Linked DNA regions of Xenopus tropicalis. The protein of the gene in region 1 interacts with the protein of each later gene in a biochemical or structural test. Links are inferred from orthologs where the notes say so. Each region holds a gene or a part of one and is shown on either strand. Other genes may lie near its edges.

Region 1 (8,850 bases):
GTAACATCAAAAGTTACCAGCCATACTTCATCAGCCAATTCATTTATATTAGATAGTTTTTGTAAAAAATCATGAGTATCTCTTATATATGAGCGTGTCTTCTGAACTAAAGGACTAAGTATCTTATCCAGGACCTCAGCTATATTGCTGGTAAGTGAGCCCACCCCAGCCACTATAGGTCTACCTGGTGGATTAATGGGGTCCTTATGTATTTTAGGAAGTACATAAATTACAGGTATAATGGGAAAGTCTATCCACATATATTGTGACGTTGACATAGTAATAACATTAGATAGTACTGCATGCTTTAATAAGTGATCCAGCTCCGTTTAAAGGATTCCGTTGGATCACCTTTCAATGGGATATAAACTCCAAGGTCCCCCAAGTGACGTTCAATCTCAGCAATATATTTGTTCGTGTCCATAACAACTATCGCCCCTCCTTTATCTGAAGGTTTGATAGTTATGCTGGACATCGATTTAAGCTCGGTTATTGTCTCAATTTCAGCTTTAGACATATTATATGGGCCCTTATGGGCACTATGTTCAATATCAGACTCAACCTCAGACCGAACTTTTTGAATATACATTTCTACTGCCGGATATGTTGTGGGGGGGACAAAATGGCTACGTGATCTTAAGCCAACCTTGCTAATATCAAAACCACATTCGGTATTTTCAGCTTCATTATATGTCATATTATGAGTGAAATGTACTTTGAGTCTTAATGCTCGAAAAAAACGATACAAATCCACCTGTAACTGAAAAGAATCTAACTGTGATGTAGGACAAAAGTTTAAGCCCCGTTCTAACACCTGTATTTGTAATGGCGTTAGTTCAACTGAAGAAAGGTTAAATACTATCTGTTGCGAACTTTCCGTTGCGGTTGTTGTCTCCGATCCTTTCGCCGTGACTTCCCGATTTCTTCTGGAGCATTTATATATATATATATATATATAGAAAATACAGAATGTCGGCACTCACAGGATTTTCACGAAAAATAGTCACTAGCAGTCAGTCATGTTTTAGAGATGCAATGTGCTTCCCTGACGAAGGTTCCAGTAGGGAACTGAAACGTTGGATTAATAAACTCCACTTGATTGCATCTCTAAAACATGACTGACTGCTAGTGACTATTTTTCGTGAAAATCCTGTGAGTGCCGACATTCTGTATTTTCTATTCCATGTCTGCTGCTCTGGCACCCAGGTAGTGCATTTTAACTTTGGTGTGCTCTTCATTCTGCATTTTGTATATATATATATATATAAATAAATGATAGAAAAAGATATAGTGCTTGGGGAAAGGCAGAACTAAAAAGCTTCAACATACAACAACAAATTACATTTTAGGTGAACTTCCCCTTTAAAGTCAGAATGCCTGGAAGTCTGCATCATCAAATACGAGAGGGAGACAATTTACTTATGCATCCTATACTATAGCTGCGTAGGTATAAAAAAATTATAGTTTACACCAGACTGCCTTAATAAATATAGTGATATATTATAAATATATCGATAATTTGTATGCATAATGGTTGATTTGTTATATTAGTACATGAGAATCCTGTCACTCCAAATAAATGTTTTTCATAAAGGAGAATAATAAATCTACAATGATGTAATTATGTTGAACACAGGAGGGGAATGTGTAAAACAAGCAGGCAGTGACTTATCATGCCCAATAAATAACATGTATATATATATATAATATATACTGGCATCTGTAGCATAATAACGGCCTGGACTGCAGCAGCCAAGTACTGAAAGGGTTAACTACAGCGCAAGCAAACACCTCCCCTCTCATTGCAGTGCAGGCAGTAGAGGAGGAAAGGCCCGGGTTGCCCTGTAGCACCTATTTGCCAGTAACACACACTAGTCACACAGACTGCAGTCTCCATCAGCTGGTGGTGCCACTGAGATATGCCTACTGGGCACCATTAATATGGTATGTACAGACGGGCACAAAAGGAAGAGACATAAGGGGAGGAGGCAGAGCATATTGTATGTTACGGTGTCCGGTGCTGCCGTATGTAAGTGCAAGTACAGCAGCTCTATGGCTTAAATAACTATATGGATATTTTAGTTGCCCTTTACAACACTACCATATTTACCCCCATATGTAATAAAAGGCACTACGTTTGCCCGGGAGCAGTAACCCATGGCAACCAATAAGATGTTTGCTTTTAAACACATGACCAGTAAACTCAACCTCCTGGTTGCTATTACTGCTCCTGGGGAAACTTAGTGCCTTGTATAACATATGGGGGATAGATTACTAATTAGCCCTGCAATCTCTTCTATAATGTATAAATATTAACATTTTATAGAATCCACATTAAAGCTCTTGGTTATATGAAAGATACAAATATAAGGATATTATAAGTCACTTTGACCATATAAAAACACAAGGCCAAAGACATCATTAAGCACTGTTTATAAGGATATATGTTAAAGGAAACTCATGGTTCTTGTGTATTACAAGGATATTAACAGTTACATATGAGACCCATAGCCATATAAACGCACAAGGACACAGGCTGAGCACTTTTATACAGGTCAGGGAACTCAAAATTGTAAGACAAGTCACCGCGGGGGCTCTGCACCCCCCCCCCAAGGGACCTCCACCATGGTCCCCATCACCCTCGGGCCCCTGCTGCCCACCCAACCCCCTCCCCCACGCGTGCATACTTAGGCACATTGGGAGAGGGGGACCTGCGGGCCTCGGAGAGCCCAGCAGGGATCAGTTCTGGGCCAGTGGGGCCCACCACGTTTTTGTCCTGCCAGCCCAGTCCGACCCTGCATGTAACACAAATGACATCACTGAGCACCGTTTATAACTAATGACATCACTAAGCACTGTTTATAAGGATATCAGTTACAAGATATTCATAGCTCTTGTGAATAACAGTTTATGACCAGGGGACCGGACAATAACGTAATTATTATATACAGGGGGGGAGCAGGAGAAGGTCTGTCCCTGATGACTAGTATTACTAATGTATTTACCCTGGGAGAAGAAGACAAACATGGGCATTGTAGAAAGGCCTATGCCTCCCCACCTTGAGATAAATCCTTCTTAGGGTGAAGACACACAGAACTACTAGTAGCAGCTACTTGTCTTGGCTACTAAATTAGACAATGCTGATCATTTAATGAGCCGTGAAAAAGTAGCTGCTACTAGTAGCTCCGAGTGTGTATAGTCGCTTGCAAGGCAGGACAAGGCTCTGCAGCCAGAGTATGTATGTATGTATGTATAACTTTATTTATAAAGCGCCACAAGGGTACGCAGCGCTGTAAAATCTTACAATATACACAATTACACACAGGGAGGACAAGTGATATAATAAATAAATACAATATATATATATATATATATATATAAGTGCCATGTGGTATGAGACACAGTGGGAAGGAGGTCCCTGCCCCGTAGAGCTTACATAAGTGACAGTACATGGTTCTGCAAGCTCTGCGGTTAGGGAAAGTGACAGTCAATAAGTAACTAGACAGGACAATGTTCTGCACCAAGGGAAAGTGACATGCAGGACTCGCACTGCTGGGACTGATATAATGAGGAGCTGTAGCCTGGGAGGGGGGTATAAAGCTACAGATCTATAGCAGGGGGGGGGGGGCAGTGTATGAGCCAAGGAAAAGGCAGCAGGTGACAGTCAGTGGCTCTGCAGTGGGGGCAGCTGACAGCCAATGGCTTTGCAGCAGTGGCAGTGACAGTCCATAGCAACAGACAGTACATGTTTCAGTGGCAGCAGAAGGTGACAGACCAGGAATCGGAGGAGGGGCAGGTGACAATGAGTGGCTTTCTTTCTTACAGATGTCTCTAACAATGACTGCGGCCCATAGGAAGTCTGGCAGAGAGCACAAAGCTCCCTACCGAAGGAACAGCACAACTACAAAGCTCTGTGCCGTCAGCAGAAAGCCAAGGAATTAAAGGGGAACTCCACCCAAAACCTGTTTTACGCACACTGATAGCAAATGTCATTCTAAGCAGCTTTCCAATGTACATTCCATTTTAATGGTTTGTACTTAGTGTAATTGCCGTTGAAATTAACATTAATTTCTCCCTTTCTGCCGCTTCCTTTCCAGAGTTGAAACAATGTAGCAGAAGTCCTGCCCGCCCAGGGGCTGCTACATTGTTCCATTGTCACAGGAGGAGTTCAGAGAATAGGAACAGACGGTACTTCCCATAGCAATGACATCGAACACCGAAATACTATAACAAATGTACATGGGAAAGTCGCTTGGAATTACATTGTCTTTCATTGTGCAATAAGCAGTTTTTGGGTCGGAATTCACTCTAAGGGAACCCATATCTGTGCTGACAGGGGGACATTAGGGTGCTGTACAGATGCAGTGTGGGTAGGACAGGGATACAAGGGATACAGAGTGGGTAGGACAGGGATACAAGGGATACAGAGTGGGTAGGACAGGGATACAAGGGATACAGCGTGGGTAGGACAGGGATACAAGGGATACAGCGTGGGTAGGACAGGGATACAAGGGATACAGCGTGGGTAGGACAGGGATACAAGGGATACAGAGTGGGTAGGACAGGGATACAAGGGATACAGAGTGGGTAGGACAGGGATACAAGGGATACAGCGTGGGTAGGACAGGGATACAAGGGATACAGTGTGGGTAGGACAGGGATACAAGGGATACAGAGTGGGTAGGACAGGGATACAAGGGATACAGTGTGGGTAGGACAGGGATACAAGGGATACAGAGTGGGTAGGACAGGGATACAAGGGATACAGTGTAGGTAGGACAGGGATACAGTGTGGGTAGGAGAGAGATACAAGGGATACAAGGGATGGAGAGTGGGATCCATAGGGAGATGACACAGCTCTGCTGTCCCTACTTACAGGCACCCTATCCGGGTATTTCTTTCTGATCTTCTCGCCCTCCTTCTTCCTGTATTCGAAAGGATGATCCTCCTTATACTGGAATTTCATGGCTGCCCCAGGAGATAGTGTATATACAGTATATAAATGTATATATCAGTCAGCTGATGCCCCTCGCTGTCTACTGCTCAGCAGATGCAATAACAAGCTATGTTACAGTGTACTGAGCAAGGGCAATGTGACATCACTAAGCCCCGCCCCTGGGCAGTACCAGCAGAACAAAACAAAGGGGGATGCTGAAATTAACCTTCTCTCTGCCAGACAGGACAAATGAAAAATAAACAGTCTCAGTTTAAAGAACCCTATAGCTCGCAGGCGCTGAAATCATATTCCAGGGTTTTTAGGGTGGGGGTTAGTGGGAAGGGTGCAGGCCAGGATGAGATATAGTAAATAGGCAGTGGCACAGGGCATGGCAAGTGATTGACACGCAAACCTGTTTGTCTGAGTCACCTGTTTATTCTCTGTGGATCACGTGAAAGCCAGAGTCACAAGGCAAGGTGACACAACAGTACAGCACTGCGGTACATAACACTATTAACCTGCGACTGGCCAGGGACCTGGGCCTCATTATTAACCTGCGTCAGAGAGCGGCCAAAGTCCCTGTATAACCACTTCCGGCCATTGATCTGTAGCCCATAATCTATTCCCTGGCGCCGAGCCACACTTTCACTTATACCAGCGCTTCTCAACCTGTGGGTCGGGACCCCTTTGGGGGTCGAACAACCCTTTCACAGGGGTCGCCTAAGAACATCAGAAAACACATATTTCTGATGGTGTTAGGAATAATTTTATGGTTGGGGGTCACCACAACATGAGGAAGGTTGAGAACCACTGACTTATACCCTTTCTGCACTGCTGGTTCTGACTGTCGTAACAAAATAACAGAAGCCGACTGATTAGCAGACCTGGAGGAGAACTGACTCCTGCTACATTGTTTCAGAACCAGAGAACAGGAAAAGATAAACCAGCGGTTCTCAACCTGTGGGTCGGGACCCCTTTGGGGGTCGAAGGACCCTTTCACAGGGGTTAGGAATCATTTTATGGTTGGGGGTCACCACAACATGAGGAACTGTATTAAAGGGTCGCGGCATTATGACGGTTAAGAACCACTGACTTATACCTTTTCTGCACTGCTGGTTCTGACTGTGGTAACACAATAACAGAAGCCGACTGATTAGCAGACCTGGAGGAGAACTGACTCCTGCTACATTGTTTCAAGAGTCAGAACCAGAGAACAGAAAGAGATAAACAAACACAGCTTTTAGCTGAAATTTCCTTTACAAATAACTTGAAAATCACAGAATGTGCACTGGAAATTTGGATTGTTTTTCATTATGCAAAAAACTATTTTAGGGGTGGAAATCCCCTTTAACTTCCTCTCTGTGACAGAAGTCTTAAAGGGGTAGCTCTTAGCAAACTTTCAAATTGTCTTCATTTTTTATTTCTTATAGTTTTTTAATTATTTCTCCTCTTCTGCCTCTCTCCAGCTTTCAAATGGGGGTCACTGACCCCGGCAGCCAAAAACTATTGCTCTGTAAGGCTACAGTTGTATTGTTATTGTTACTTTTTATTACTTGTCTTTTATTCAGGACCCTTTCCCATTCAAATTCCCGTCTCTCGTTCAAATCACTGCCTGGTTGCTATGTTAATTTGGACCTTAGCAACCAGATAGCTACTGAAATTCCAAACTGGGAAGTTGCTGGACATAAAAGTAAAATACATAAAAAAACATAAATGATAAAAAATAAAGACCAATTGCAGATTGTCTTAGAATATTGCCTTCCACATCATACTAAACCCATTAAAGCCTACTAAACAATAATTTAAACATTAGTAGGATTGTTTTGCCTCCCGTAATTCATAGCTTTCAGGAAAATGGGTTTCTGGATAATGGATCCCATACCTTGTACCCATCCAATCCTGGGTCCACAAATCATGTCAAAATCTCATACTCCTCCTGTAGACTAGATAGTAGGTTCCCATACAACGGGCTGGCTTATTTGTTGTTCTGAAATAATATAACTGACATGAATATAATTCAGAAGAGCAAATAAACCAGCCATACTGTATATGAACCTACTTTCTAGACTGTATCCCCCATATGTAATAAAAGGCACTACTGTTGCCCAGTAACCGTAACCCATAGCAATCAATAAGAGCTTTTAAACAGGTGACCAGTAAATTCTACCAACTGATTGCTAGCTCCTGGGCCAATATAGTGCCTTACATTACATAATCCCATATATACTGTATATATATATATGGTGAAACAAAAGGTGTTTATTCAAAACAACATCTAAAATATATATATATATATATATATATATATATATATATATATATATATATGTATACGACATTGAAGAGGACAAGAATACTATATAAAAAATTCTAGATCTAGATGTTTGTGAATTGCGTTTGTCAGTAGTTACAGGGCCATTCATAATTGGTAAAATAAAGCTTTTGACTGAATGGGTTAACATCAGCCCAACAATAAAAAGGAGCCCCTCCCCTCTCATTGCAGTGCAGGCAGGGGCGGAGCAAAGGGCTCACCTCTCTCATTTGCTAACAAGGACACCAGAGATACAGGCTGGGAATGTACAGAGGAGGGAATGCAGACAAATATCCCCATCTGCCAGTTTCCTCCATGCAAACACATACGTAACATAACTGCCCTCTTCTCCAACAGGACTGCCTACAATGCTCACATGATTTATGGGTATTTAACCCTTTGCTGTCAGTAGCTGCTGAGAGATGTGCTCCAACAACAGCTGTAGGGCCCAGATATAACAGTTTAATGCCACTATCTTATCCAGTTCTTTCCATTTTGCCTTCTATCCCCCTTCTCTTCCTATCTGCTACTGCTGCTCTGCAGGGCTCGGGGTACTTGGCTCTAACTGCCACCTTTTCCTTTAAAAAACAAACCCTGCAAAATGGAAAGATGTCTATATATCCCTGCAGTGATGACTACACTTTCCATCAATCGAGCATTTGCTGAACCAGTCAATAATCAGCCCTGCAGCATGTGTATTGTATAGGAGCCCAGATTTAAAGGTGTCAGAAGCAAATGGGGCTTGAACTTCTGAAATCACAGAAAATTACACAAACTAATCTCCATCATTTTGAAACATGGAACATTTTCTGGCTTGGTTGGTTTTTCCATCGCTGCAGCATTCCCTACCTAGTACCCATGACAGGCTGGCATATAGGCTATTATTCAATGCAGGCAGTTTGCAGAACAGGCACTGAGAATTTCTCACAGCAAAACTGAATTACATCCATGCATTGGTCATTTTATTGAAATAATTCCCTAGTACAGCTGGCAGTTACGACACAGTAATTTCCTATAGGCTGTAAGACAATTCATCAGCTGCAGCGTCTTGGCACAGAAGGAGGTACAAAATATATGTTATTTCATTAGCTGTGCTTATGGAGCCAATAACTCAGGCGCTGAGAGAATATTGCTATTTACTATATACTAGCACGTTGGTATATGGATACGGAACTGGCAGCATACTGTACCTGCTGTTACTGCAATGAAAGGGTTCAATATAATGTTGAACTATCATTTATATTATGAATCCAGTAGGAACTTAGGGCTCATATTTGCTTGTTTATAGATAAGCTGTTTAGAATACAATGGTTATCAGGCCCAGACTGGCAATCTGTGGGTTCAGGCAAATGCCAGAGGGGCTGCTGTAAGGTGCCATAGACAGTCACTATTTATTGGGCTGGGGGGGGCTGTTTGGGCCTCTGTGTACTTGAAATGCCCGAGACTATTTTGAATCCCAGTTCAGGGCTGATGGTTATTTAAAGGGTAGTTCACCTTTAAATTAACTTTTTGTATGATGCAGACATTGGTATTCTAAGACAATGTGCAATTGGTCTTCATTTTTTATGGCTTTTCAGTTATTTAAAGTTTTGTTCAGCAGTTC
Region 2 (7,484 bases), on another chromosome or scaffold:
TTGGGAAATTGAGTGGGGTTTAGCTTTTTTCATTAAACCAATATATAAGAAAATGCAAACCAAATACCCATATTATTACATTCACAGCCCAGCAACACTGTCAAATTTAATGAGGCAATAATGGAATATCCGCACATTTTTTATTAAATTGTTTATTATAAAGCCAAGTAACAAGAAAACAGACAAAATATTAGCCTGATCCCAATTATTTTTAACTTCAGCACAAATGAGGCTACATTACTGTAAAAGCTCATAACCAATGACAACAATGGTATCGCAACATACCGGATAAAACTGGGGCTTTTCCGTTTACAGCACCAATCGACATCTCATTACAATACACCACACCCACTATCAACTCCAGGTCCTAAAACCTTGTAAGTTGTCCCAGCCATGCCTAGTTTTATGCATAGTTTTATGGCATCTTACAGCAGCCCCTGGTTGCCTGGTTATACAGAGTGCCATTCCAAATTCTTAGCCACTCATCATGATTTGGGGCTGTTGAAAAAAAAAAAACCCAGACAGTTTAGAGGTTTTCAGACCTGCCTGCAGTTCTGTCTACTCTCTATTCTGTGAGGCGAAGTAGAGCAAAAGGCTATTTGATATGTTGCTTGTGGGTGGCAATGAGAGGAACACTATAAATTAATGGCCCTGACAGTAAAAACTTCTTAGGGCCCTGGCAGACAAGGAGATTTGTCCTGTGTGGTAAATCTGCACTACTGTGGGTGACTCCTTGCTGATCTACTGAATAAAACACTTTACTTGATGCAAACATGTTATTGATGAAAAATGCCTTCTTCTGAAAGTAAAGTACAAAAAAGTACAGTTTTACTTTTGGCAATTCAAATCTAAGCAAATGTTTAGGAGATTTGTCACCCACAGGTAGTGCAGTTTACCTTCATCGCCCAATGCCTGTATAAACTGTAAGGCCCCTAGCTGATAAAATGCAAGCACTATCCCTGTGTAGGAGCCAAGACATAAGATTAACCCCAACCCCAGCAGCAAAAACAATTAAGTGTGAGGCAAACTTAAAAAAAAATGGAAACAACTGCAGCTTTTATCGGCCCTTGTATGTCCACCTTTACACATAGATGCAAGGATCATGCACTTCAACTCACTCTATATGTATAAAAAATTGTGCAATATGAAGTAAAATAAGTTGAGAAATACTCACAAGCATTTATTCAAACTTGTTAATCCAATGTATTATTTAAGCATTTTCCTAAATGAAGAAGGCACAATTTTCCAGCATTAGACATTACATTCTAGTTAATAATTGAGCTGGGAAATGCATAAAAAACACATGAGTACAGTGACCATATCTGTGTTTATATGTACTGATATGTTTATATTCAAAACAGTTAACCCATGTACACACTCCATGTGTAGCTGTCGTCCAAATTCACACTCTCAGCTATTCTGGCAGCAAAAATGTTCATAGCAACTCTTTCACAAACAAAAAGATCATTCATACCACAATACTTAAGAAGTGGAAAAATTAAAGCCAAAAAGTAATATAAAAAGGGATAATTATCCAGCATTTTGTGAAAAATATATGAATTAATCTTCAGTGGTGTCAGAACATATGACCCACAATGGATCAATCTTCAAAGTGTTCAAAGGCACTTGGAACAGTGGTTAATTTACATAAAGTTTATGTAGAGAGTCAATAAAAAGAGGCGATTACTGGACTCTTTCATTTTAACAAACAATGTCATCCATAGGTGCAAACATTCTTATCAATACTGTAAGCCATTAATATCTTTATTCTCACTAGCCTTTTGGTCCAATGTGAATGCAACACCTAACCATGTGAAAAACAAAAAAACATGCTCCCTTTTCTCTGTGTTCTCCTTCTGCATTTCACAGATTTCAAAGTGGAGCAAAAGTGACTGACATGGTTTCATGTCATTTTAAGTACCAATATACAATAATTCTCCCTTTCACATGCACTGTCGTAATAAAATAACTAAATACTCCCTTGTGCCAGCTTACTGTTGTTCAGGCGGTCAGAATAATCAGGTTTTAATGACGGGATTTCATGTAAAATCTTCAGCTTGGGCACATAAAAAATATGTTTATATAATACTGCTTAAATACTCACTGCTTAACTGACCTGGACTTATAAGAATTTAAGAAAAAAAGTTCATATACATACTGTTTAACCAGGGCATGCAAAAAGAATGATGTATATAAAGGTAACATTTTGAACGTTTTAAAAGAAAAGAGGGTTAATATATGACAGTAACAAAAATCCCATTACTTACTAAATTCCTTGATTGCACAAGTGATTAAAATGTATTATTATTTAAAAGCGCTGTGTTTCTGAAGACTATGGGGCACATTTACTAATCCACGACCGTCCGAAAGCGTCCGAATGCGGTTTTTTCATAATGACTAGTATTTTTGCGACTTTTTCGTCGCCGTTACGACTTTTTCGTCGCCGTCGCAAAAAATTCGGATTGGTTTTTCCGCCATTTACTATAGCACAATACGAAAAAATTGCGACGGTGACGAAATAATCGCGCAAAATACGATAAAGTCGCAACAGCGCCAAAAAAGTCGCGACAAATACAAAACAATCGCGGCGGCGACGGAAAAAAAAAAATCGCAAAATTTTCGTTTCCAATCCGTTTTTTTCCCATTCGGGATTTGGATTCGAGGATTAGTAAATGTGCCCCTATGTGTGTATATGCAGGTGACAAAGGTGCTAACAGAATATTTTGAACTTGCTCAGACTGGAAACATAAACATTATTTTCATGGTACAGGTATAGGACCCATTATCCAGAATGCTCGGGACCAAGGGTATTCCGGATAAGGGGTCTTTCCGTAATTTGGATCTCCATACCTTAAGTCTACTAAAAAATCAATAAAACATTAATTAAACCCAATAGGATTGTTTTGCATCCAATAAGGATTAATTATATCTTAGTTGGAATCAATTACAAGGTTCTGTTTTATTTCTACATAGAAAAAGGAAATCAGTTTTAAAATTCTGAATTATTTGATTAAAATGGAGTCTATGGGAGACGGACATTCCGTAATTCGGAGCTTTCTGGATAACGGGTTTCCGGATAAGGGGTCCGATACCTGTATATGTGCTGTGTTCTGGATATCCCATAATTAAGAGTACATTCAAAACAAAGAATTGAGTCCAGAGTCAATTTAGGCTGCTTTCTAATGACATGTTGAATACTGATTTTGAAGAGAAAAAAAATCACGTAGCATTTTCCAGTTTTTTTTTTTAAATGTGTTTTTAACACTTGTGTGAAGCATCAGATTTACTTGTCAAGAAGCCCTCTGGGAGCAGTAGCATGTCTCTTGGAAATATGCTCAGTTATTACCAAATCCTTGTCAGGAATACACAGATAGGGAGAGAAATCTCATTCATGCACTAATTGCTTAACTGTCCTCTTCATCGTCGCTTATAAGGTCGCGCCTCTCAGGGTTGGTCTCCCGCTCGCGTATAAAGTCTGCACGAATTGCTTCCAGCTCTGACAGCTCTAGGCGAACTTTTTCCAAATGGTAAGTGCGTCTGTTGCGGATCTGGCGCAGAGGGAATGGATTCATGTCGACAAATGCAATATTACAGAGCTTTCTGAAATATAAGCAAACAATTCAAGTATCTCAGCTATACAGAGTAGATTAAGTAAGATGACCAACGTAAAAGTCCTACGGATGTATTCAAGTACAGAAATACTATGTCCTGTGTTGTGTTTTTACTCATTTGTATGCTGTGTGAAATCCAGTGAAATTCTAAACTAGTACAATTGCACAAGGAATGTAGGCAATGTATGCAACTCTACTAACTACCATTGATTTTATTGAATTAGCATAGTCCAATATGATTTAAATAAGTCATCTTAAAAATAGCGCTGACCATACTGGCTGTGTTTGTAGATCCATTTATATTAATCAGCTCTCGCTTGCTATGCAGTAAGCCTTTATTTTTCTCATATTAAAATCCTGGGAATAATCCATTTTTTGTGGCACAGTTATGCGAAGATTCTAGCCATCATTCATTTGGATACAGAATGCAATAACATTTTCAGGCATCATTTTCAAAGCTCTGTTGTAATTTGGGGTCTACAGCTGATGGGTAAGTCTTCACTTGCAGCCCAACATTTCTTTAGTCTACCTTAGCATATTACAAGGTTATAGGTATACAAAATACAGACTATGCAGTTACCCTGAATACAAACAAAAGGCAATTTATTCACTCTAAATGTTAATCTCAATGATGTTCAGGCAGAGCCACCTTCCCTCTGCTCTGCACCTAGTGCAGCATGTCATCAAAGGCAAATCACACTCCATGTGAACTATATGTACAATATGAATGTTTATGACCTATCATTATTGAGACAGCAGTACTGTATGTTGTATATGAAAATAAATGCTACCAATTATACCAATAATAAATATATGTCTGTTATAAAAGGCATGGAAAATCTAGGTGCGCAGATAAATCAAGTTGTATCTGAAAACTCACTGGGGTCATTTAGAAACATCACACTGTGTAGAATTCGTTACTCTATGATCAGATTCATGTCTTGCACTGTAGAATGGTACAGCAGAATCAGTTTTCAACAGTATATGCCAGGAGTGCCACCTAGGTACTCCATGGAAGTCTGACATTACATTACACTGTTTTGCACTAGGAACAGTTTATATTGCCAACAGATGCAAAAACACGTTTGTAAATAACCATTTTATCCAGAGAAGAACCCCTTATAAACAGACATTGGCAAAAAAGGTACACTTTAATCATTGCATTCCACTGCAGTAATAGCAATGCGGACCAAGGTGGGGGGACCAAGAAGATGGGGCTGAGCGGGTGTGCACCTCTACTACTTGGTTGACTTTAAATAACAGGACAAGTTTCACTAGAGATGGCAGTAACTAGTTTAGATACTTACCGTGCATCAAGGATTGTCCGGCTAAAATAGCGCAAGTACTTAAAAATGGACATTGAATCTTGTAGCTTTAGTATCTCCTCTTCTTTGTACTTAAATAATCCCAAAGCAAAGCGGAAAATCACCTAGGTTTAGAGGAGAGGTAAAAAGGAATACTGTTGAGACAATTAAAAGTGTTTACTTTTGAAAAAATGTGAAATATTGTGTCAAATAATGTAGATTTAAAGAAAATGTTTTTGATTATTTCTGAACAGATTCATTTTACTTTTTATGTTTGTATGGAGGAATCAATTTTGTTACTCGTCACTATTTCTATTTCCTTTATGGCAAACAGCATAAGCCCTATCTTGCTTTATGGCAGAGTTAACACAGGCTAATAGCCACCTCTGCTCAATACAAAGCTGAAAATACAACTGGACTCATTTCAGAAAGCAGAACAGAAAGTCAATGTGTGGTTACTTTTACACAGGATACATGGGAAATCTGAGGTATCATCAAGGTCATTATAGCCTTAGAAGACAAAAAATGTAGTTTGAAATGTATAATGCGGTCTAGCAATGTTAAAGAAACAGTGACATCCATAAACAAAAGGGCATCTTACACAGTCAAATACAATGTAGGTCTCGGTGGCAAACTACATAAAAAAACCATGTTACTCTCATAGGCAGCCACTTGCATACATTACTCCACTGAACACTGCTTAGCTTATTTACTTATTAAGTCACAATCGTGCCATGAACAACATCAGAAGTTTAATTAGTCTATTGCAGTGGTACAATAATGACTGATTTATTTAGTATACTATTGCAAAGTACAGGTATGGGACCTATTATCCAGAATGCTCAGGACCTGGGTTCTTCCAGATAAGGATCTCCATAACTTAAGTCTGCTAAAAATCATTTAAATATTGAATAAACCCAATAGGATTGTTTTGCCTCCAATAAGGATTAATTATATCTTAGTTGTGATCAAGTACAAGGTACTGTTTTATTATTACAGGGAAATCATTTTTAAAAATTTGAATGATTTGCTTATAATGGAGTCTATGGGAGACAGACTTTTCGGAACTTTCTGGATAACAGGTTTCCAGATAAGGGATCCCATACCTGTACTACATGTATGGAACATGTTATCCAGAATGCTTGAGAATGCCTGGGGCTTTACAGATAAGGGATATTTATATATTCTGGATCTGCATACCTTAAGTCTACTAAAAAAAAAAAAATCACTTTAACATTAAATAAATGGAACAGGATTCTTTTGCCTCTAAATTACTTATATCTCAGAATCAGTACAAGGTTGTTTTACAAAATTAAAAAAAAGAAAATAATTTTTAAATAATTTAATTATTTGATTAAAATTGGGTCTGTGGGAAATACCCTTCCTGTAATTCTGAGCTTACCGGATAATGGATTTCATTCCTGTACTACCTGGTCTCCCACCACAATGCAATCGATCTAAAACTTTGCTGCTAGAATCCTTCTGCTCTCTCCTTACAGCCCCTGAGGGGCTGCCTGTTGAGCAAAATACAGCATACAAAATCTTTCTGCTGACATTCAAAGCCTTTTGCTTCTCCCTGCATTTCTTCACCTGTTACTCTCTGAACCACAGTTCTTTTACACCACTCACACCAACTGCCATCCTTTGTCTTTAACGGTTCTATCTCACTGCTCCTAACCTATGGAATGCCATCTCTAAATTTTAATCTCAAACTCAGATCCTACCTTTTGGAGCACTACAACATTATCTGGTTCAGTCTTAGGGCTCTGGCACATGGGGAGATTAGTCGTCCTCTCAAGGCAACTTTCACTGAAACCGCGCCGCCGCGTATGCCATCCCACCGGCGATTTACATTTTCGTCAGTGGGATGGTATTTTGGGGAGATTAGTCGCCCGCGAACAGGGAGATTTGTCGCGGACGACTAATCTCCCCGTGTGCCAGAGCCCTTAGCCCATTTATCAAAACCATGAATGTTTAGTCATTTATTAAAAGATCCAAATATAAAAAACACAAAAGAATTAAAATGCAGAACGAAAATGAAAAGAACACATAAACGTAAAATTTTTCAAAAGCATTTTAAAAATCCATAATTCATAAAAATATGAACGATAGTAAATGGGCCCCATAGTTTAAATTAAAATACCCCTAATCTCAAAGGCAATAATGAATACTATATGGTGCAAGGTTAGATCTGTATTCACACAAGCAGACTGCAAGTAAACCATCAGGTCTGCCTAGCTGCTGATTGGCTGGCATCCTAAAGTGCAAAGCGCTGCTGGCTCTTCTGCACACTCTGGGAAAGCAGCCAGTGGGAAGAGGAACAGATGGGTGGTGCTAGTACAGTTTTGGGGGAAATTAGTATAGCAGTAGTTATAGTACTAGTATTTAGTACCATTATATATAGTATAGCAGCACAAAGCACACCCCTCTTTTCTTTGTATAACATCCCTTCTATATCTGTATAATGCAATGGCACATTCTTGTTTTTTACATATGTCCCCTTTAAGGGCCAATGCCCCTACCCTTCTATTTGTGCCTGTATGTTATCCACTATATATAACACCCTATA

Evidence for each region. The genes of interacting proteins can lie anywhere in the genome.
Region 2: the proteins of gabarapl1 (region 1) and tbc1d2b form a complex in vitro, tested with the Homo sapiens proteins (2 studies listed by BioGRID and IntAct). The link is inferred for Xenopus tropicalis from reciprocal best matches to the Homo sapiens genes GABARAPL1 and TBC1D2B.

The regions. Positions count from the first base shown.
Region 1 is NC_030683.2:18,815,998-18,824,847, forward strand, and holds the start of gabarapl1 (gamma-aminobutyric acid receptor-associated protein-like 1), read right to left. Parts: upstream 5,050-8,850; 5' UTR 4,967-5,049; coding exon 4,877-4,966; intron 1-4,876. UniProt on the Homo sapiens protein: Ubiquitin-like modifier that increases cell-surface expression of kappa-type opioid receptor through facilitating anterograde intracellular trafficking of the receptor. Involved in formation of autophagosomal vacuoles.
Region 2 is NC_030679.2:91,182,115-91,189,598, reverse strand, and holds the end of tbc1d2b (TBC1 domain family member 2B), read right to left. Parts: intron 5,041-7,484; coding exon 4,919-5,040; intron 3,601-4,918; coding exon 3,405-3,600; 3' UTR 3,238-3,404; downstream 1-3,237. UniProt on the Homo sapiens protein: GTPase-activating protein that plays a role in the early steps of endocytosis.